2 linked regions of the Oryzias latipes genome follow. The protein of the gene in region 1 interacts with the protein of each later gene in a biochemical or structural test. Links are inferred from orthologs where the notes say so. Each region holds a gene or a part of one and is shown in the gene's direction. Other genes may lie near its edges.

Region 1 (11,263 bases):
AAATTTTAGCGCTCAGTTTGACTGTTTTACACCCCGTTCGCTGGAAGAGATGAGCAGATGTGGGATCAAATGAGCTTACCTGTAAGCCCCGTTTATTTTTCAAAATGTGCTAGCTTGACATGGAAGTCTGTCGGAGAGTGCTGAAGAAGAGCCAACTGGCATTAGAAGAATTTGCCCTTTCCTAAACTGTAAAGATTCCTCAAAAAAGGATTGAAGAAAGTTGTAAATTATTCATTTTAAAAATGTGGATTTAAATCATTCCAGCCTTTTTCTGAATGGAAATAAAAGCTTTTTTTTTTTTGAAGAAGGTGTAGTAAAACAGCTGATTTCATTTTTCTGTGTTTTACTCTTTCAAATTGTTGCTGGTACAAAACTGTTGCAGGTGGAGAATTCTCCCTTTTGTTTTTTCTCAATTTATATTATATTTTTGGTTTTACATTCTGAATGTGTTGGACTTAACATACAATAAACTACTGATAACAGCACAGCTCAGCTGATGAGTCGTGTTTGCTGGGAATTTTCTAAGCGGAGCCTTAAAAAAAAAAGCAAAAATGTTTTGGAGGAAAAGACCCCTACCAGACAATCTTTTTTTTTTAACAAATAATTGCTTCTTATTTTACAAAGTGAATGTAAATTTTGAAGAAAAAAGTTGCTATTTTAAGGGTTTCTCATCTTCAGTGAGAAATTGAGCTCTTCTTTCACAGGCCAACCATTTCTTCATGAAACACTGATGTATTTTGGTAAAAACATGCTTCCCCCCCTGCCATGCCTTTTACATTATCATTATTATGAAAAGAGCGATAGCTTAAACTTTTCTTTCTCTTTTTTGGACTTTGTTCTTCTCTGAGGTATTGTCTTCGGATTGATTTTTACAGTTTGTAAATTGTGATGCACACTTTTGAGAGTCAGCACTCACTGTAAACTGACAGATAATATTTAACTTTCAAATACAATACAATCACTGATGGTTGATATCGTTCTTGTTTATGCAAATCTTACATGCATCTGACGGATTTACTGGTTAAAAGGACCATAATGTCAAGCAGCAGATTACTGCACCTGTCAAAAAAAAAGTGGTCTATTTCTCTGTCCCATTTGCCTTATTAAACTTTAGACTTCATCACTATGTCTATTACTGTGTTCAATCTTGGATTTTCTATTTTGTAGTGTGTTTCTTTTGTGTTTGGGTTATTCACAAATCTGGGTTGTTGGAATAATCACCTGCTGTTTTGAATTGTGCTGTTCATCTGCAATGTTCTGGCTTACTTTTCTATTTTTTGTGCATGTATTCTCCAGCATATCACATGTCCTTATAGCTTTCTTAAAAAAAAAATACCAGGAAGATTTTTAGATTATCTAAACTGGTTGTTTATTTTTTTCAAAACTCAGTTTTAAAGCAATAATCTTTTTATGAAATCATTTTTTTGAGACCAAAAAATAAGTTTATAAAACTCATTTGAAGTCATAGCACTCTATCTGATCATCCTATTACTTGTTTCCAATGCCTAAAAATGTTTTATCTTTTAATATTGTCACCAACTTGTAAAAAAAAAATCACTTTCAACAAGTATTTTAAAGAGTTTTACTTGTCATTATGATGTCTCACAAACATGTTTTCCTCCCTTTCTGCTTTTAGATCACATAGCAAATTGAAATGGAGTTGCATTTTTTTTAATTCAACCAGACAGTAATTATTTGTCTCAAGCATTACATTGGTTTTTTAAATTTATATATAATCAGGTTTTTCGGTCCTTTTAATAGATTTTACATGTTGATTTTGTACAAAAACTAAAAAATGGGCAAATAATACGTATTTTCTTAATATAATAAATTCAATATCATATAATAGTTTATTTGGTCATGAACATAATGGATTATAGTGCTGGATTTATTGAAGTTTGGATTTATTCTCACAGCGACCTCTGCAGTTCACGTGGCAGAAAGATTTAGTGCTCTGGCCCTTTAAGAAAACTGATCACTCGTGCGGGTGAGCCACGTATGGTCTAGTTAGTGCGCATGCGCGTCCATCTCACATCCGGGGTTGGTAGCTGTACATAGTGCCCCATAGTGTAACTCTTCACACTCTCTCTGTCTTTCTTCTATTTTTATACATTTTTTACTTGTGCCACTGAGACAGTGGTCGGAGTCTCTTCTTCAACAAAACAAACCGTCTGGTTGGAAGTCTTCTCTGAGAAGACGCCTGTCAATATGAACTTTCTCAGGGGAGTGATGGGAGGGCAGGCTGCCGGGCCGCAACCCACCGGAGCTGAGACGGTAGGAATCTAGCAATGCTAGCTACATCTGACTTGAATTTTTGCCGCTATGATCCACAAAAAAAACGAAGACATGTATAGAAAAGAAAAATGATAAATTTATGTTATTGGGGCGCATTTTAAAAGATAAGTAACATGGAATCGGTTGATTTAAAAAGCCCTTAAATGTAAGGCTATCACAAGCTAACCTAGCAATAGTCGTCGAACGAAGTATTTTGTCCGTTATTTTTAGTAGTCATAAAACACTTATTCTTGCATTTATAATAAAACACATTTTACTATAATTCACGACAGTTAACAATAAATACAGATCGAACTTTAATGTAAGTTGAAGCATTTTGTTAATTTGGTGTCTCTAGTGGTTATTTAGATTACAAGAAATAAAAACACACTTTCGTGTGCTAGTTTTTTTTAATGAACTCCTTTACATCTGTGACTTCACCCCAGTAGAATGTAGAAAAACGGTTCAATCTTAATTTCCTGATGGGGATTAAATTATGGTTTGCTTAAATTTGTCTTTCTGTTGACTTCCTTTCAATTTTTAATGATATCTTTGAGTGGTGAAGTTATCTGTAAATAAAACATTTTTTTGTATTTAAATGTGATCAAATTAACCTTTGTATTCATTATTAATAATGTGCCATGCTACAGGACTAATCTTTTTGGTTTTTTTTGTTTGTTTTTTTAGCATCAAGCCTTTTATAACAGCCCTTCAACACTAATTTTGGGTGTTTTATAGTTGTGGGGAAAATATAGATATGTAAATAAAAAGTATGACACAAAATTTAGATTATTTTGATTAAGAAATTAAAAATGTGTTCTGGAAAAAAACGTTTGTCTTCTTGTTTGTTAACAGATCCAGAAGTTGTGTGACAGGGTTGCTTCCTCAACACTCCTGGAGGACCGAAGGGACGCTGTCCGGGCCCTCAAATCCCTTTCTAAGGTATAGAATTAACACAAACTCTGCAGATGTACATTTAGGTAGGGAATGTAGGAAATCTTTGTGTTTGTGCTTACATTAAGGCTTCAATGTCTTATCTATGAGAGAGCTGAATTATTGTTTTTTTTGTCTTAAATAAGAACAGATTTTATTTTTAAATTGGCCGCCACCACTTTAAGATGCTTGCTTTAATGCTGACCATCTTATAACACATCTGCATCTTTGTATGACACCATTAAGGATTTGATGCTCCTCAGGTATTCTTCTAGCATGAGCTGGTTCTAAGTTGGGCTCAGAATTGGCAACTTGATTCCTATGGAATGAAAAAAGGATGGATTTTATTTATTTATGTATAAATCATACAGAAAAATGAAGGTGTCATAGAGGAATTTACAGGTAACTTGTTGAATTTTATTTTCCTCACTAGCTTAAAGAAAAATTAATATACGGAAAGTGTTAAAAGGCATATTATAATAAAATCATACTGTACCAAACGTCAAAGGATGTAGGTCTAGTGTGTTAAATGTTCTTAGTTTTTCAGATAAAATCTCTGAATTTAACCTTTGACCTTCAACCTTTTTTTTTTATTTCTTACTGTGAAGCAGTTTATTTGTAAAAATAAATAAATAAATAAGAACTAAACTCAAGAAAAACATTTATAAGCCTTGATCAATAATTTTAGTAAATATTCTTTATTAAATCATACATTTCATTGGACTCTGAAAGCATTTTTTCTTGTAGACTTAAGTTGTTTTTTCTAAAGTTGCAGAAACAAAATCCATTATTGAGGAATCCATTTTTTCTTTTTTTTGTAGAAATACCGCATGGAAGTTGGCACACAGGCCATGGATCACCTGGTTACCATATTGCAGACTGACAGGTATCTCCTTGTTTCTAGATTGAAGCCCTTTTTCTCACATTATAGATCAATAAACGACAATTGACCTGTAAAATAGAAGTCGGGCTGAAAAAAAAAAAGATATTTTCATTTTTTGAAAATATTTTAATTTTTCCCCAAATGCTCCAGATCTGACTCTGAAATCCTTGGCTATTCTTTGGACACACTCTACAACATCATCTGCAATGATGAGGAAGAAGAACAAGGTACACAACCTATAAGGTTTTGGTGTTTTTATTTTGTCCTGGTACGATTAGATTAATTTTTATGTCTATAATAACAATAACTCTATAGCAATCCTTTTGGATTCCCGAAATTCAAGTTCATTGTACTTAATAGAGAGCCACCACTAGCAATATACTAATTCAGTATTATTTAATCGGTTTTGATAAGTTCACAACTTGATTTCATATTGATTTATATTTCAAATTTTGATTCAAAACTAATTGTATTTGGAAACAAATATTGATTTTCTGAAGGGAAATTGATTTGTTTTTATTAAACGCAGCTTTACTGAACAGTGTTGCGTTTGCATGAGCACAAAGCTGGACGTTTGTATCAGTTTGTGAGCCTTCGGTCTGCGTTCCTTCCTTTTTTAATTACTTCCACTAGTATTGAATGTGTTGTATAAAGATTTTCCTGTTTCTCTTCTCTTTCATGTTTTAACCCCACAGATGAATCAGAAGGTAAATCTTTTGGATTATGCATGATGCCAGCCTCTTTAACCACGCCGTTCATCCATGCACATTGGTGCCCCTGCAGTGGCCGACATTAGTTGGGGGCATTTTTACTCAAAAACCTTTGAACTTCTGTGTGACTTGAGACGAGTAGACGATTAATTTTATTTATTGATTTCTTGCAAACCCAACAACTCTTCTACTCGCCTCATGGAGACTTAAAGGTGTGCCTGTTTATTGATGAACTGTTGTGCTGTTGCTGCTCTACTGCACAATGACTAACCACAAATAATATTGCTGTACTGTAAAGCGACACCAAGGGGTTTGGGGGTGGTGCCATTGACTGTATAAAGGAACTGGACTGAGTGACCAGGTGGCTCCAGGTACCCGCTGGCTCCAAGAAGCCAAAATCCCATAGACATCTATTGAAGAATAAATATAACGTAATCGATTTCATGAAGTTAAAATCTCACTAATGTGAACGTTGTATGAATTCACTGTCTTCTGAAGTTAAAAACTTTGATGGTTTATTAAAAATACATTTAAATACATTTTTTTGGCAACAATTGTTCAGATGCAATGCATTGTGGTCTATATTCGCCAATCTGGTGAGCATTGATGCACACTGGTTTTTCGCAGAGACTTCTGGGAAATTTCTAGGGCACTTGATTTTGTCATTGTAAATTTGGACAACCCTACAAAATTACAAATGCACAATATAATGCACTATGTAGTGGGCAGTGAAGGAATTTGGTGACTAAATTGACTGTTTTGTTGGAGCTTGAAGTAAACCATTTGCTATGGGTGATGTCTCACTCCCTCTGTTCAGTTCTCACATACAGTCAATGGGTGGTACTGGCAATGCTTTACTAATACCACAAAGCTGTCTGATTATTATTATTGCTGTTTGTTCACGTTTTGTGTTGTAAAATATAACCCCTTCCCCCAAAAGTTTCTCCAAATCTCCACAAAAACAGACACGATGTCACGTGATGATGGAAAATCAAGACTAATGCTGGTTAAAAGTGCAGTGAAAAGCAAGACAAAAGCAGAGGAAAAGGATCTGGAGCTGATTGGAATAACACGCTACGATTTCAAAAGAGATTATAAGTTAACGAGCATCATAATCTCATGATTAAATCTAGAAACAGGAAATGGAACTACTGTCTTTGAAAAGGTTCCACTGCTTTTCATCCCTGTTAATGCAACAAAAAAAATAACTGACTGCTGATCCAAACTCAGTGCTGGGGATCCCATGACCAAACATTCTTCTACCATAGCAGCATCCACTGGGACGGTAGTCCACAGACTTAGCTGCTCAAGTTTTCCATGTTTTCCTCAGATGAGAATACCCAGAAGCAGACAGACGACCTCTGCGCCCTGTTTACAGAGAAGTTCCTTCAGGATCCTGAGCGAATCACGCTGCTCCTCACCCTTCTGGAGGTACGGCCCTGTTCTCCAACCATCGCAGACAGATTGCTTCCGATGCGTAGAGTGTAACTGTCGGCGGGGGGGTTTCAGGAGTTTGACTTCCACGTGCGTTGGCCTGCGGTGAAGTTGCTGACGGCTCTTTTGAAGAGTCAAGGCGCCCAAGTGCAAGGCATCATTCTCGTCAGCCCCATGGGTGAGTATCTTCTAGTTCACTCAGTCTAACTGGCTACAATCTTTATTTCTATTTATTTCCTTAAATTAAAATATAAACACTAGATTTTCCGCCACAGGTGTTTCCAGATTGATGGACCTGTTAGCAGACTCCAGAGAAGTAATTCGCAATGATGTGAGCGCTTCTGTCTTCCATTTCATTACCCATCGTGAAATATTGGTGGGACTTATGAGTCATGTTGTCTGCTTCCTACAGGGCTTACTGCTGCTCCAGCAGCTAACCAGAGGCAACGCAGCCATTCAGAAAATCGTGGCTTTTGAGAACGCCTTTGAACGCCTCCTAGATATCATCACGGAGGAGGGCAGCAGCGATGGAGGTGAACAGAGTCGTGTGTGCAGAACTGCTAAAACCCTCTTTTTTGTGTGTGTACTCATTCCCCCCTCCTCTTTCCTCTGCTGCAGGTATTGTGGTGGAGGATTGTTTGTTGTTGCTGCTCAACCTGCTAAAGAACAACAGCTCTAACCAGAACTTCTTTAAGGAGGGCTCTTACATCCAGAGAATGAAGCCCTGGTTTGAGGTTGGGGATGATAACTCTGGCTGGTCCGCACAGAAGGTCACTAACCTCCACCTCATGCTGCAGGTAGCCAAAGCAGCGTTCTCGTTTAAAAGTGTTCCCAGTGGTCTTTAATTAGAACTATGCCATTTTTTAAGAAAAGGAAACCTTTCTATGATCTAGTTTCTGCAGAGCAGCAGGAGTTTAATAGAAATTCACAGGTGAGCTATAGGCATGCAGCAAGCAACGCCCTCCCCACTTCCCTTTGCCCATAATTGAGAACTCTCAGTTTACATGCTCTCCTGCTAGCTAACAGCCCCTCACAACCCCAGCCCAACATTACTGCTGTATCAAAAAGTGTATTTTCTACGTCACAAATAATTCTGGTCTTTTTATCGTGTTTTTGTGGCATTTTTATCATGTTGGAGAACATATTAAGAGTTTTAAGCTCAAAATATTGTTTAGTATTTTATTCAAATCGTTGTTAATCAAGTGATGGGGAAAAAGGTTTGAAAAAGCTTAACCACATTTAACCTTTATTGTGTTCTTGTCAAAATGTTCAAACCTGAACACAATTCCAGGGTTAAAAGATCACTGGGAATGCTTTTAAAATGGATCAAAAGATGAGTGGAGTGGGTCGTTCACAGAATCCATGTCAAAGATGACTAATAGTAAGATTTAGAGTCTTAACAAGCTTATAATTTCCAGCTGGTGCGAGTGATGGTGTCTCCAGTGAACTCCCCTGGAGCTACAGCGAGCTGTCAGAAGTGCATGTTCCAGTGTGGCTTGTTGCAACAGCTGTGCACCATCCTCATGGCCACCGGTGTGCCCGCCGATATCCTAACAGAGGTAACCACAGAGAGTACGGACGCTGACCCACCACAGGAAGGTTACGGCAGAAACGCTGACAAAAATGTTCCTTCGACTGCTCCTTTCCAGACTATAAACACAGTTTCGGAGGTGATCAGAGGCTCACAGATCAACCAGGACTACTTTGCCTCAGTCAACGCCCCTTCAAGCCCTCCACGGTAATGAAAGTTTAGTTTTCTCCCCCAAAAAGCTGGCAATGCACGTTAGAGTTGGCTGGATGTTTGATCTCTGTTGTTTGTGTTTGCAGACCAGCCATCGTGGTGCTGCTCATGTCCATGGTGAATGAGAGGCAGCCGTTTGTGCTTCGTTGTGCAGTTCTTTACTGTTTCCAGTGTTTCCTCTACAAAAACCAGAAGGGTCAGGGGGAGATCGTGGCTACACTACTTCCCTCAACCATCGATGGTTCGTTTCAATCTGTTTCTCAAAGCCTTTAAATGCAATTATTTTTTTAACCGGCTCTATTCTTTTCCTCTTTAGCCAATTCTATCTCTGCTGGTCAGCTCCTGTGTGGAGGTCTGTTCTCAGCAGACTCCCTGTCTAACTGGTGTGCTGCCGTGGCCCTGGCCCATGCTCTCCAGGACAACCTCACTCAGAAGGAACAGTTGCTTCGAGTTCAGCTCGCTACCAGCCTGGGCAAACCTCCCGTGTCCCTGCTGCAGCAGTGCACCAACATCCTGTCCCAGGTAAGGCACCGTAGTACAGACGGAACAAGCTATATGTGTTCTGTTAGCATGAAACGAGTTAGCCCATCAACATAGATCAGTGCTAAATTGTAAACCCCAGTGAAGAGAACCGGTTTGCATTGTTGTGGTTTTGCAGGGTGATAAGATCGTCCGACGGGTGAGTAACGTACCTCTGTGTGTGTTTGGGTGTTCTGGTTATTTCAGCTTGGCAAAGGAAGTAGGGGTCTCTGTGACCCGCTTGTTGGTGGATTTTGCTTTTCTTGGACTATTTAGTGGCCCGCCTTTTTACTGGAGTCTATGACCCAGCGACTTTTATTTAATAGAAAGTGAAATGACTGCGCTCAGTGTGGAAATGCCAAAAATGGGAAATGAACTCATCTACGAAACCAACAGAAGGGCAGCAGCTGCTTCTAGATGTCCTGTCTTCTGTGACCTCTTAACCTTTTGCTTTGTGCTTTGACCTTTGATTGCTCCTGTGCTTGGCTTATTTGGGGCGTTTTAATTTTCCAGTGAGGGCTCTTTAGAGTCAGCAGAGGAAGCGTCTTATCCATTTTCTAATTCCTATCATGCGGTATAAAAACGCGTGTTTTGGACTTTTGACTCCCATGTGGGATCTGCACTGTATTACAGCAGTGTTTTCCCTGAGTCAGACTCATAGTCTTTGTCATCATACTAATCAGTTTTGTTGACCTGTTGTTGTCAGACCACTGACTGGACATGAGAACTGGACAGAGTGCATGTGACATCACCAATAGAAAACGGTCAACTTTCAGCTCCAATCATTAATTCAATTCAGTCGCCGTTTTATTTCGATACGTTGGAGCCAGACGCCGTCAGTAAGCAGTCAAAGTCAGGACAAACTGTCAATCACTTTCAACGTGAGACCACACACTTTTATTGAAGTCTGATTGGTAAGTGTATAACTTAAATAAATTGTAATAAAGAAAAAAAGGATTAGCTAGAACATTTAAAAAAAATATATCAGATAAGAATAGTTATTCTGACAAATAGAATGACTGAGTACTTCCTGTTTAGAACGTCAGGTGGGGGAGGTCAGGTGGGGGTGTTTGTGGATGACCAACACGTTTGAACAAGCTTGATTCATTCTCTGATGTGTCCCACAGTGGGGCCTTCTGGACTGAATGGTTGGCCCACACACTAACCGTAACACTCTCTGCTTTCTCTCATTTGTGGGTTTTCTGAATATTTTTAAGTTCATATAACTCCTGATTTACTGAAGTTTTTCCTCAGAGCAGACGGACGGATGATGTTTGGTCTGTGGCTGGTTTTTTATTTGTTTATTTATACCTCGAACTTTCATGCTCCATTCCCTCAACATTTCAGGCAGATTTAGCTGATTTAAAATCACTATCTGCTATCCAACAGTTACCACAGAGTCTGGTCACTGACAGAAGCAAGAAAAACCCAAATGAAGAAAATTAGAAACTAGATTTTCCTCTGGGAGTCTGAGTAGAAATGGTGGTTGTGCAGGTTTCTGGATAGTTTTTATTTTCTGATCTTCATTAGTCTATTAAAGTGCCTTAATGTGCAGACATACCTTTGATAGAAACCCCAACCTGTGATGATGTCTTAGATTAGACATCCACTAAAATTCATGACTTCTGTCTTAGCAGAGTCAGCTTTCACTTATGGTCTTGAAAACTTTACACTTGTGTTGAAATGCAGCTGCCTCTTTGATTTTACTTTTTTATGTGTATTTTTGGAAAGGAAAAAAAAAATACAACTCTCCCAGTAAGGCTGGATATTACTGTCAAAGTACTGAATCCATGCAGCTTTAATTTAATGTATGCTTCAGCGTGAATTCCTTATTTTAATGTATTTCCATCCAAAAGTAAATAAGGTTGTTAAAGGAAGTTAGTTCTCACACATTTCCTCATTGAAAATAAACAAAGGTGGAAATTTTATGAAAAGAATTCATTTAAAGTGCTGATCGACCTGTTTTAACCCAAGTTTAAAGAGACTTTGACATTACTGCACTTTTTTATACTGAATTTATGATCTAGAACAATAGAATGTGACATTTCCATAAAATGAATATCTACTTTTTTTCTCTTTTTCTAAAGATAATTTATATTTTGCCTTTCAGTCAAAAACTTTAAGTTAACCGAATTAAATCCTATCTGTCCTTTTTTTATTTTACTTTTTACTTTTCATATTTGGAGACTAAAGCAAGAAAGGTGATTTTATTTATTTTAATTTTTTTGTATGCTTTCCTGATCATCCCCTCCACATGTGTGTTAAAGCACACACATGTGGCACACACCGTATCTGCTTGGCATCCATTGCTTCAGTGAAGGAAAGACATGCGTCCTTCTGCTGGCGCATGCTGCGCAAATTCTCAAATGCAAATTAAGGCAGGATGGCATAACATTGGTACTTTTCAGCTAAATTAAAAAAATAAATTAAAAGAACATCCTCTGAGTAAGGCCTAAATGTTTATTACTCTGCCTGAAAAGAAATCATTTTGAGCAAATATCTGAGTAAAAGAGAACAAAATGTTTTACAATTTACTACAAGTGAACGTTCGGTGTCTAATTTTATTCAGATAGTTTACAGTTAAACAAACTTCCACCAGTCTAACGAACAAACCCTGAAAAGAAAGAAGATGGACTTTTAACAGGAAGAAAGAACAAGCTTAACCAGACTGGGAAAAGCCGTTTTCTGCTTCAACCGGTTCCTCTGAGGAGAACAGCAGAACGTGGAGACAGAACCTCAGTGTTTGCAGTAATAGAACAAACCCAGTGC
Region 2 (11,824 bases), on another chromosome or scaffold:
GGGGATAACTCCGCTTGGGCTGAAGCTGAAGCTGGCGTCCACTCGTGGGATATGTAGGTCCTGGACATAGAAAGACTAGAGTTTAGACGAGGGTAAAGATACGTAACAGGAAAACTTGAAAGAGACCAGACAAGCACCATCAGGGGCAACGAACTAGCGTTGAATTCTGGTCCTGGCGCTCCTTAAGTAGGTCTGGCAGGTTGATGAGATGAGTGAACGCAGCTGGGACGAATCAGTGGCCAAGCAGAGAGGGGTGGGGGAAGATAGCTGACAGAGGCACCATGACAGTACCCCCCCCTCAACGACCGCCTCCAGGCGGTCCAGGACGGCGATCAGGATGGGCCCGGAAGAAATCCTCGATGAGGGACGGGTCCAGGATGAGAGAGCGGGAGATCCAGGATCGCTCCTCCGCACCATAGCCCTCCCAATCAACCAGGAACTGGTGCCCACGACCCCGACGCCGAATGTCCAGGATACGGCTGACCGTAAAGGCAGGAGCGCCGTCGATGATACGGGCGGGCGGCGGGGAAGCGGACGGCGGGCACAAAGGGCTGTCCTGGACGGGCTTGATTTGTGAAACGTGGAAGGAATGGTGTACCTTGAGGGCTCGTGGAAGGCGTAGACGGACACAGGTCGGATTGATGATCTTCTCAATAGTGTACGGTCCGATAAAGCGAGGAGCCAGTTTCCGGGAGGAGGCCTGAATCGGGATGTTGCGGGCAGAGAGCCATACCTGTTGGCCGGGCTGGTAAACGGGTCCCACCACCCTGTGGCGATTGGCGATGCGACAGTTGCTCTCCTTGGTGCGGAGGAGAGCCTCTGTGGTTTGGCGCCAGACCTGTTGGCAACGCTGGAGATGTTGCTGGACAGAGGGCACCGCCAAATCGAGTTCCTGGGACGGAAACAAAGGTGGTGAGTACCCGAGCGCGGCTTCGAATGGTGACACCCCAGTAGCGGAAGATGCGTGAGTATTGTGGGCATACTCAATCCATACTAAGTACTGGGACCAGTCCTCGTTGTTTTGTGCCGCCAGACAGCGCAAGGCTGCCTCCAGTTCCTGGTTGGCCCTCTCTGCTTGACCGTTGGACTGGGGATGATAGCCGGAGGTGAGGCTGACCGTGGCCCCCAGGGCGGAGCAAAAGGTTTTCCAGACTTGAGAGACAAACTGGGGACCACGGTCCGAGACAATGTCCAAGGGGATGCCATGGTGACGGAATACCCGGTCAACCAGGACCTGGGTGGTTTCTGTGGCGGAGGGTAACTGGGCTAGAGGAATGAAATGAACCATCTTAGAGAAACGGTCAATGATGGTGAGTATGACAGTGTTACCCTGAGATGGAGGCAACCCGGTGACAAAATCCAAGGCGATGTGCGACCAAGGACGACTGGGGGTGAGTAATGGTTGTAACAATCCGGCTGGGGCAGAGTTAGAGGACTTGGAGCGGGCACATGTGGTACACGCTGCCACATATTCACAGACGTCCTTATCCATTGAAGGCCAAAAGAACCTTCTACGGAGGAGATGGAGAGTGCGCTGGACGCCGCCATGGCAGGACAGCCGTGAGGTATGCCCCCAGGAGATGACATCTGCCCTGAGGGAGGTGGGTACATAAAGGGTTCCGTTAGGACAGGGGGCATGATTGGGTTCCTCACCTTGAGCTTGGAGCACCCGATTTTCGATATCCCAGGTGAGTGCGCCGATTATGCACGTGGAGGGGACTATGGTGGTGGTGATCGAGTTTTCCGTGGTACTGTACTTGCGGGACAATGCGTCTGGTTTGATGTTCCGGGTTCCAGGACGGTAGGTGATTGTGAAGCGGAACCTGTCAAAAAACAGACACCACCGGGCCTGACGAGAGTTGAGTCTCTTGGCGGTTCTAAGGTAAGCGAGGTTTTTATGGTCTGTCCAGACAATAAAGGGATGCTCAGCCCCCTCCAGCCAGTGCCGCCACTCCTCCAGGGCCAATTTTATTGCCAGCAGTTCACGATTCCCCACGTCGTAATTTTGTTCTGCAGCCGACAATTTCTTTGAAAAGAAAGCACAGGGTTTGAGCTTTCCAGACGTGAGTTCCTTCTGGGAAAGAACAGCGCCGACCCCGGAATCCGAGGCGTCGACCTCCACGATAAACTGGCGTGAGGGATCTGGCTGAATGAGAATGGGGGCTGTGACAAACAGTTTCTTGAGATGGTCAAAGGCCTGTTGGGCTTCTTGGGTCCATTGAAAGTTTTGATGGGTGGAAGTGAGGCGAGTGAGCGGGGCAGCAATGCTACTGTAGTTGCGGATAAAACGTCTATAGAAATTAGCAAAGCCCAGAAATTGTTGCAGTTTCTTCGGATTGGTAGGGGGTTCCCAGGCGGAAACAGCCTCGATCTTGGAGGGATCGGGTTTTATACGACCTGCCTCAATGATGTAACCTAAGAACTGAACAGACTTGACATGGAATTCGCATTTCTCTGCCTTAACATACAGCTGGTTCAATAAGAGACGGGTGAGGACTTGACGGACGTGTTGTTCATGCTGGGTAAGATTGTTTGAGTAAATGAGGATGTCATCAAGATATACAAAAACAAAGCGATTTAGAAAATCTCTAAGAACGTCGTTGACTAACCTCTGAAATACTGCTGGGGCATTAGTCAACCCAAAGGGCATAACTAGATATTCATAATGCCCCAGGGGGGTATTGAAGGCAGTCTTCCATTCATCCCCCTCTTTGACACGGACAAGGTGATAGGCATTACGGAGATCCAGTTTTGTGAAGACGTGGGCTTCCTGGACGGAGTCGAAAACAGAGGAGATTAAGGGCAGAGAATATTTGTCCTTTACTGTAATTTGATTGAGTTCCCGGTAATCTATGCAGGGGCTTTTCGACAAAAAAGAAACCTGCCCCAACAGGGGATGATGAGGGACGAATGTGACCCAGGGATAGCGCCTCCTGGATATAACTTTCCATGGAAAGTTTCTCAGGCCCAGAGAGGTTGAAAATGCGGCCCTTTGGTAAGGTAGCACCCGGTAGTAAATTGATTTTGCAATCGTAGGGGCGATGGGGAGGAAGGGCGCTTGCCTTAGATTTGCAAAAAACATCACGTAGGTCATGGTAACAGGAGGGGATCTTATCCAGATTAATGTTACTGGGAGAGTCAGTGGTGTGATGATGAGCCGAAGGTAAGGCGGACGAGAGACAATTAGCAGAACAATAGGGGCTCCAGTTAGTTATGTGTCCTAAACTCCAATTAAATTGTGGGTTATGCAACTTTAACCAGGAGTAGCCTAGTACTATGGGCGTATGAGTGGACTGGGTAATGAAAAATTGCATAACTTCCCTGTGGTTGCCAGAGGTGAGAAGTTGAACAGGTTTGGTTCTATGCGTAATTCTGGAGAGGTGCTGCCCTCCTAAGCCCGAGGCCTCTACAGGAGCTTCCAGAGGTTCTGTGGGAAGACCGAGTTTAGACACCAGACCATGATCAATTAGGCTCTGTTCGGCTCCAGAATCTATAAGTGCCCTGAAAGCATGAGTTTGGGTTTTACAGCATATTCTGACAGGAATGCACAGGAAGCTTTGATTTTCCTGAGTGCTGAGGTTGCCCCCCCGTGACCTGTCACTCAGCGGGGGGTTTTGGGAATTTAAACGCAGAGTGCACTGTGAAACTAAATGTCCATGGGCTCCACAATAAAAACATGAACCCTCCTCTTTTCGCCTCTGTCGTTCTTCTGCAGATAGTTTAGAATGATCTCTGTATAGGTCCCTCAGATGGTTTGGAGCTTGCGAGAAAATCCATTCTGAGGGGCGACTGGGCTGTGATGGTAGAAGGGGCCGGATCGCTGATGGTTTTCTTCGGGGTCTGTTGGCGATCATGACGTCGCTCGGTGAGTCGGATGTCCGAGCGGAGGGCTGCTGAAACGAGCTCTTCAAAGGAGTTAGTTTCAGGCTGAGTACAGAGATGGTCTTTAATTTCTTCATTCAAAGATTGATAAAAAATGCCCTTTAAAGCCAGATCTGGCCAGCCTGCTTCGACCGCCAGAATGCGGAGTCAATGACGTGCTCACTAACAGTCCGGTTGTGTTGTTTCAGGTTAAGTAATTTACGTGTGGCTTCTTCCCGTTTACGGGGTTGGTCAAAAATCAAACGGAATTCGTTTAGGAAGTGTTCATAGCGAAGGTGACTAATAGGGTTAGCAGAAACAAAGGCTTGAGCCCACCGAAGAGCTTTCTTCCGGAGAAAATTTATTATAAGGGTGATTTTACTGATATCAGAGTGATAATGCCTGGGAGCCTGCTGGAATATGAGTTGGCATTGAAGTAAGAACCCGCCACAGGCTTCTACGTTGCCTAGGAACGGTTCAGGCTGTAACCGGAAGTTTTCGGGTGAGTTGACAGGACCGGAAGCGGAAGCTGCATTGTTGCCGGAAGACGGAGTAGAAGCTCCTATAGCAGGGTTAGCATGTCGCTCGGTTAGCTCGGAAAGCGTTTGGTTCATACCTCTGATGCGAGAGATCGTGTCCTCTTGGACTGTAGTGACGCGGGTGACCGCACTGGAGAGGAGTTCCAGGAACCGACCTTGTTGGGAGACAATATTTTGTAAATCTTCCGGGCCAGCTGGGTCGGGGTTTTGGCTAGTTGTTCGTTCTGTCATGACTTGTCAAAGCTAGACAGACCCAGACGCTGAAACCCAGAAGGAAGACAGGAGGTGAGTGAAGGTAAATAATAGATTTAATTTTTCCAGCGGATGAATTTGTCCTGTTGTGGCGGGGAATGGCAGGAACGGCAACTCCAGATGAGAGGGTGGATCTTGACGTGGCTGGAGGTTCGGCTGAGGCCAGAGCTGAGGCCTGATGTATGGAGCGTTGAGAGGAGGTAGGTAACTCCGGGGATAACTCCGCTTGGGCTGAAGCTGAAGCTGGCGTCCACTCGTGGGATATGTAGGTCCTGGACATAGAAAGACTAGAGTTTAGACGAGGGTAAAGATACGTAACAGGAAAACTTGAAAGAGACCAGACAAGCACCATCAGGGGCAACGAACTAGCGTTGAATTCTGGTCCTGGCGCTCCTTAAGTAGGTCTGGCAGGTTGATGAGATGAGTGAACGCAGCTGGGACGAATCAGTGGCCAAGCAGAGAGGGGAGGGGGAAGATAGCTGACAGAGGCCCCATGACAAGGAGTTCACTAAAATTCACCTCTGAGCTTTTGGCAGGACTGTTGGCATGAAGTAAGCCTGCCCTGACATCATCCCTTTGTTTACACTCTCTCCCACTAGCCTACAGCCCCTCAGAACCCCAACCTAACATTACAGATGCAACAAAAATGGCGAGCAATATCGAAACTATCCTGCCGTACAGTTTTGAGCCAGATCTCAGCTCATACAAGGAAAATGAAGGCGGAAATAGATCTAGTCGTCTACAAGTGGATGCATCAGAATAGAGAGGAGCTCAGAGCTTGTGGCCTGCCAATTGTAGCACCTATGTCACTGCTTCAAGCTTTTTCCAACAGCATTTGTTTTATCTGCTCCTGATTCATAACGATTTGAATAAAGAAACACTCAGAAATGCAGTTTTGATCTTAATTTTCTTCATAGATGTCAAAAAAACGCCACAAGAACATGTTAAAAACACCCAAATCAGGATTTTTATTGGAGTGGGTCTTTAATGTGAAGCACAACTGACTACTATATAATTATTGGACGAATACTGATATAAAAGTTAGGCTCAATCATTTTTTCTGACATATTATTGACATATATACTATTTAATACCATAAAACAATCCAAAAAGCACACAAAGGGAGATTTTCTGAGTGGTTTAAAGAAAGGTGTGACATATGATGGAACGGATAAGGGAAGGTACGACGGTACAGGGTTCAGACGGGTGGAAGGCTGGGGATCTGGGGCTGGAGGCATACTTGTGGTCTGAGCATGCTTGGGCCTGTCAGAAAAAGGATGCAGGTACCAGCAGGAGGTTGAGAACATCAGAGAGCAGCAAGATCGTATCTTTCTCTTTCCATGCTGTACCTGAGTGTTGAATCACCTGAGGAAGCAGCCCATCCTGTCCTTGTCCAAATGTCTGTTCTGTCTTTTTGCTGGGAAAGATTCAAAATGGGTCTTTCAATTATAAAATTTCATGTCATTGGTACATGAGGTTTGCTTTTATATTTCTTATTTTTATTTCATTATCAGTGTTTTGCCAATTAGAAAGACATTTTGTTTGAAAGGGCATAAGAACAAAAACATGAAGTCATATTTACAACTTTTTGTAAATGCATCCTTGACATACTTATTGGAACTTCATTTAATATGTAAAACTTATACACACATTCTACTGCCAGGATGCATCTCAGAAATTGCTGAGATTACTAAAATTACCAAATATAGCCAATTAGTCTCTAAATCCACTTATTCCTGTTCAATGCCATCGTCTACCCAACCACTGAGGAGGGAAGGTAGAGTACATCCTGGACAGTTTTCCAGTCCATAGCAGGGCAACACGGAGACAAACAACTACAAACGTTCACACCCAAGGGACTATTAATAACCACCAATTGACCTACGAAGCATGACTTTAAACTGTGGGAAGAAATCAGAAGAAACCTACGCATAAACGAGGAGAACATGCACACTCCACACAAAAAGGTGCAGCAGGGTTTTGACCCAGAGCCTTCTCCCTGTGAGATGAGAATGGCAACAACTACGCCAGCACCACCAACGTATTAGTAATAAATATGACACCTATTTTTTTATAAACGTCTTAGAAAAAATACAAAAACAAAGCTTGTGTTTAGGCCCCACTACTTATTGGACCGTTACAAAGAAATGGATAAACATAACGTTTGAAACGTGTCCCTTAACTCAATGCTTTCTTAACTCGAAATAAGTAAAGTGAACTGGGTCCCTATTATTTTTTATTGTTTTATTTATATGTTTTATTGTTTATTTTAATGCTATTTTAAAGGCCTAAAAAGTATATAGAAATCACAAACATGTCATAACATGTATTTGAGAACACGTGTTGAACTTCAAGTCATGTCTGAAGAATACCAAGGAGAGGACCAAAATAATTTTGATCCATTAAGATAATGAATGTTTTTATAACTTGGTTCTTTGTGTTGTTTACATTTTCTGCACTTTTAAAGTCCCACTCCAATCATCTTTTGATCTATTGTAAAAGGGTTCCCAGTGGTATTTTAATTATGATTATGCCGTTTTTAGCCCCCAAAAAAACCAACGTTGTTTTCTGGAACATGGTTTCTGCAGAGCCAGATGTCAGCTCAGTTGAGGAAGCCAAAGACGCACTTGTATATAGTTATCTGCAAGTGGACGCATCAGAATGGACCAGAGCTGGAAGCTTGTGGCCTGCTGATTGTAGCACAACTACAAGCTTTTTCCAGTGGTATGTTTTCATCACCTCCTGGTTCACATTTGAATTAAGAAGTACTCAAAAATGCGATTTTAAGCAGAATTTTCTTTTGATATGTTCTTCAGCATTAGAAAAATGCCACAAAAACATGACTTAGGCCTTATACAACACATGTAAAGCAAGGCAATTTCATTTGCATATCGTTTTATGCAAACAAGGGAAATTAAAAATGCTTTGCAGAAATAAAATTGTTTTAGCTACATACAGCAAAGTAAAAAAAAAAAAACTATGTTTAAACTGGAACTTCAATCAAGAAACAGTTGGTTAACATCTGAGTTCACCAGGAGGTTGGTTCTAGGGATGGGTACCGTGCCCCGGTACTGAACCAGCCCCGGGGCCACATTGTTCAAGACCGCAGTATCGTTAAGATCTGACCTGAACGGTTCTGCTATCGGTACTGGAGAAGTTACTTTTTCTTTTCTTTTTTGTGTCCCACAAGTGTTATCTGCCATATTTAACTCACCAAGTCAGTCAATTTTCCGTTAATTAATTATGATATTAATTTTGGTATTCTCGTTGAAGCGGGGGCGGGGCTGTTTTTCAGACAGCACGCGCCGCGCGCGCACACACACACACAAGACAAGGCAGCGCACACACAGTCAGTGGCGATCTCGTAGGGGACACGTGAGCGCCCTAGACTAAGAACACCCGTTTCTGCGTAAAATTAATGAAGTTTGCATCAAGGAGCCCCTACCATGCTGTCACCTTGCTGCTACGATGACCGTATGTTGCGCTGTCTGTGTAGAACACGCTGGGGCGGCGTGATCTACACAAAACAAACAGGTAGAGAGGCGGGGCTTAAATTCACCGCTTATGATTCCAGACCCGTGACAAACTATCAGCTGCTTCCTAAAACTTATTTTTTTTCAACTTTATTGAACATAGTATTAACATGCAAAATACTTCCTAATACTTAATAATAATTAATGACTAATGATAGTTGTCATCCGTAAAATTAATATAAATTATTGGGTTTACTGGATTTAAACAAAAATAAATAAATAGAAAGGAGTCTGTATCAAAGTGAATTTGTTTCCATCATCTCACTCAATCCTAACTCTGGTGTTTGACAGACAGAAAAGTCTATTCAAGGTTGTGGAAAATGGACAAAAGATCAAAGGAAACATCACGCTCATAAAGAATAAAAATAATTAGATTAAATAATTAAATAAATATCCTGTCTGGAACATTCTCATGTATAAAGTAAAATCTTTTGTAAAAAAAAAACAGTGTTGTTGCATAATGAGGAAATAAAACACTTTATGTTCTTAATTTGTTATTTATTTATTTTTCGTCCTCAAAAAGTATCGATAAGTGTACCGTTAAAATACCGGATCGATAAGCAGTATCGATAAGAGTAGTAGTACCGTTAAAACCTTAACCATACCCATCCCTAGTTGGTTCCATCAGTGAGCTTCAGAATAGCTTAAAGGAGCTTCATCCAGTTTGGATTCTGCCAGCGTGTTACTTCCTGCAAATCCTACACATGCTCGGTTTGTAAACCACAAGTAGACCCAACAAGTCCCGCATCTTAAAATGATTCATAAACTTGACTTAGCACTTTAAAATCAATTCTATATTAAACTGGTAGAGCAGACAGAAGACATTTGCTTCAGTCCAGCCTGCAGGAGATAAAAGCATGAATCACCTTCTCTAAATCTAGGCTAGACATTAGATCTCTGAGTTTCCCTGTTAGATTGTGATGATAAAAGGATGATTTAGCCCTAATGTGAGGCTAACAAGTCTAAATCTATTGTGACATCAAGATTTCTAACGTGACTTTTGGTCTTTATTACTCTAGAAACTATTGTTTTAGCTTTCTGAGATTTGATCTGTTATTTTTATTTCATGGTAGACGTGTTATATTTTCTTTTTGATGTACTAAGCTATCTAAAGAAGAGGGTCAAGCTTCAAATAGTTCCTCCTGTGCTTTAATTTAGCCAAAAATGATCTATTTAATATTGTATTATATTATATTATATTATATTATATTATATTATATTATATTATATTATATTATATTATATTATATTATATTATATTATATTATATTTATGTTAATCATTAGGTTAAATCAACTGTTCTCTCAATATTTTGAAGTACATTTTCACTTCACCCTATCATGTTCTACTTCTGAAGATATGATAATCAGTCATTTAAAAGTAGTTAAGTAGGAGTTAAGTAAGGGATCACAATATTATTTGTTTCTTTTGAATTGATAAAATAAAAACATCAAATATTACAATAAATGACTACATGCAATATTTGAAAAGGACTTTGAATGGAGTTTGATAACTTATTGAGTGCAAGCACCTTGTTTCAATTCAGTCCAAACTTGAATTTTTGCAGAATTAGAAAAAATAAACACAAACATTGAAAAGAAACAGTTGTGGTTAAAAAAAGGACAAAAAAATAAAATAAACACCAAAACCAACAATAAATGAATGAATATTGTTGAGTCCTTTATATCTATTTCTTAAATCACTGTCTACAATTTCTTTTAAATTTTTAATTTTAACAATTTTAAATATCTTCCCTGCAGCTATTTTATATTTGAACCCCTCTTGTGGATGTATAGTGAATGTTAGCCTTTGTTCTCACAGCTAGTTTCATAAACATATATGATAATCTAAGACCTTATTTATTGTCTCTTAAATGGAAGAGCCTGTGGATGCTCTTTGGTAATTGTTTATTATTATTTTTTTAACATGATTTGAATTATTTTGAAATCAAACAGATCTCCAAGTGTGACTGAACGATTTTAAGAATCACAGACAGGATTGGGATAATCTCTTAAAGTATTAATTTGAAACCCATGATTATTAATTAATAATTAATTAATTAATAATTAATAAACCTTTTTTGTTGTCAGTTCTTATCTACGTAAGCATGAGTTATGGCTCCATCTGGCGTTTCCTGTGTACTACTGCAGTTTTGTTTTCGTGCGTAGGTAAAGCAGACGTGGCATTGACGTCAATTCCGGAAACGACTAGCATCGGAACTTTAACTCCGGGGTTGAGTAGTTCTTTTCTGGAAAAACATAGCGGGCTCACCAAAAATGGTTTAATACCTACTCAAGTAAGTTGGAGCTGATCGTTTTTTGTTTTTTGAACATAAATTAACGTCGCGCGGTTAGTTTTGATCGAATTATAACATGTTACGTAAGAGATAAGTGAAGCAAAAGAGGGTTAGCAGATTCAGCTAGCTAACCGTAGCATGTAGTTAGCCGGTTGGGCCGTGAACAGCTGTGGACGTCTTTACTGGCTTGAGATAACCATCGTTACCTAATGATATTAGTATTTAACTAGTGTGGTGATACATATGTGTAAATTATTGTGATAATAGTTTTGTGTTTTACATTATCGAATGTTAATCGTAGTGGATGCTAACGGTACCTTCTGTTCAAACCGGTGGTTTTTTGTAAGCACTGTTTGTTTGCTGATGATGCCAACAATTCTCTTGTTTTTTGTAGAAATGCGTGGGCCTTTGTTCATGAAGGATTGTCCGCCTTGGATGTGAGCTTGTTCCCACATCGGGAGATCCTTCTGTTTACCGTACAGGCTTCAGGCTGAGGGTTCGGGCGTCGTTTCAGGTATTTTCTGCTTCAAAAGCGGGTTTATAATCCTCTGACGGCAAGATGACGTGCCGCGATCGGACCCTGGAGTTCCAGTCCGCCTGTAAATCTCTGCAAGGCAGACAAGTATGTTATAAACACAGACCACTCACTACACGAACACAATCATTTTATTTTAAATGAAGGTAAAGGGTCTAAACGCCACAATACTACCCATTCTTTTCATATTTGTGTTCTTTGAAGGCTGGATCTGATTACTTTTAGTTTTGTTTTCTATTTTGTTTCTTTCTGTTCCTTGTTTTTATTTTTGTTTTGGGCTGAACTGACTGATATTGGTCCATTAAATCAATCTCTTGATCAATGACGCACATAAAATAATACTTAGTTTGACATTGATCCCAAACTTCTATCAGCCCAATGAAATATCACTAAGTCATATCACATATATCTGTGTGATGGTGCAAGTTTTTATGCTTAGTGTCTTTGTGGTTTTTTTTAAAGTTGTACATTTTTTAAATTATCGTCTTCTCTCATCAGAATGGAGTCCAGCCCAGTAAACCAGCTCTTGCCGCCCTGAGGCAGCGCAGTGACTTCACAGTGATGGCAAAGTAGGAACCTCATTGTTTGCTTTCCTTGTTTGATACAAAAGCTCATAAATTCCTTTACATGAATAGTATTTAATGTTGATGTTTAATATCTGTAACCGTTGGACAATATGTTGTCTTTTTTTTACAGTTATATATTATTTATTTAAAAAAAAAGACTTTTACAGTGATGTGTAGTTGTTTTAAGAAGTTGGACATTTGTCCTCACAGCTATACTAACAGTAAAAATTCTGAGCGACAAT

The links.
Region 2: the proteins of uso1 (region 1) and stx5 form a complex in vitro, tested with the Homo sapiens proteins (2 studies listed by BioGRID). The link is inferred for Oryzias latipes from reciprocal best matches to the Homo sapiens genes USO1 and STX5.

What each region holds. Positions count from the first base shown.
Region 1 is NC_019859.2:16,827,828-16,839,090, forward strand, and holds the start of uso1 (general vesicular transport factor p115), read left to right. Parts: upstream 1-2,038; 5' UTR 2,039-2,208; coding exon 2,209-2,274; intron 2,275-3,129; coding exon 3,130-3,216; intron 3,217-4,028; coding exon 4,029-4,093; intron 4,094-4,240; coding exon 4,241-4,317; intron 4,318-4,785; coding exon 4,786-4,797; intron 4,798-6,130; coding exon 6,131-6,231; intron 6,232-6,309; coding exon 6,310-6,412; intron 6,413-6,509; coding exon 6,510-6,565; intron 6,566-6,646; coding exon 6,647-6,767; intron 6,768-6,852; coding exon 6,853-7,031; intron 7,032-7,652; coding exon 7,653-7,793; intron 7,794-7,883; coding exon 7,884-7,972; intron 7,973-8,061; coding exon 8,062-8,216; intron 8,217-8,291; coding exon 8,292-8,497; intron 8,498-8,633; coding exon 8,634-8,654; intron 8,655-11,263. UniProt on the Homo sapiens protein: General vesicular transport factor required for intercisternal transport in the Golgi stack; it is required for transcytotic fusion and/or subsequent binding of the vesicles to the target membrane.
Region 2 is NC_019868.2:11,880,269-11,892,092, forward strand, and holds the start of stx5 (syntaxin-5), read left to right. Parts: upstream 1-4,833; 5' UTR 4,834-4,852; intron 4,853-10,348; exon of another isoform or gene 10,349-10,481; intron 10,482-10,875; 5' UTR 10,876-11,040; coding exon 11,041-11,103; intron 11,104-11,514; coding exon 11,515-11,585; intron 11,586-11,824. UniProt on the Homo sapiens protein: Mediates endoplasmic reticulum to Golgi transport.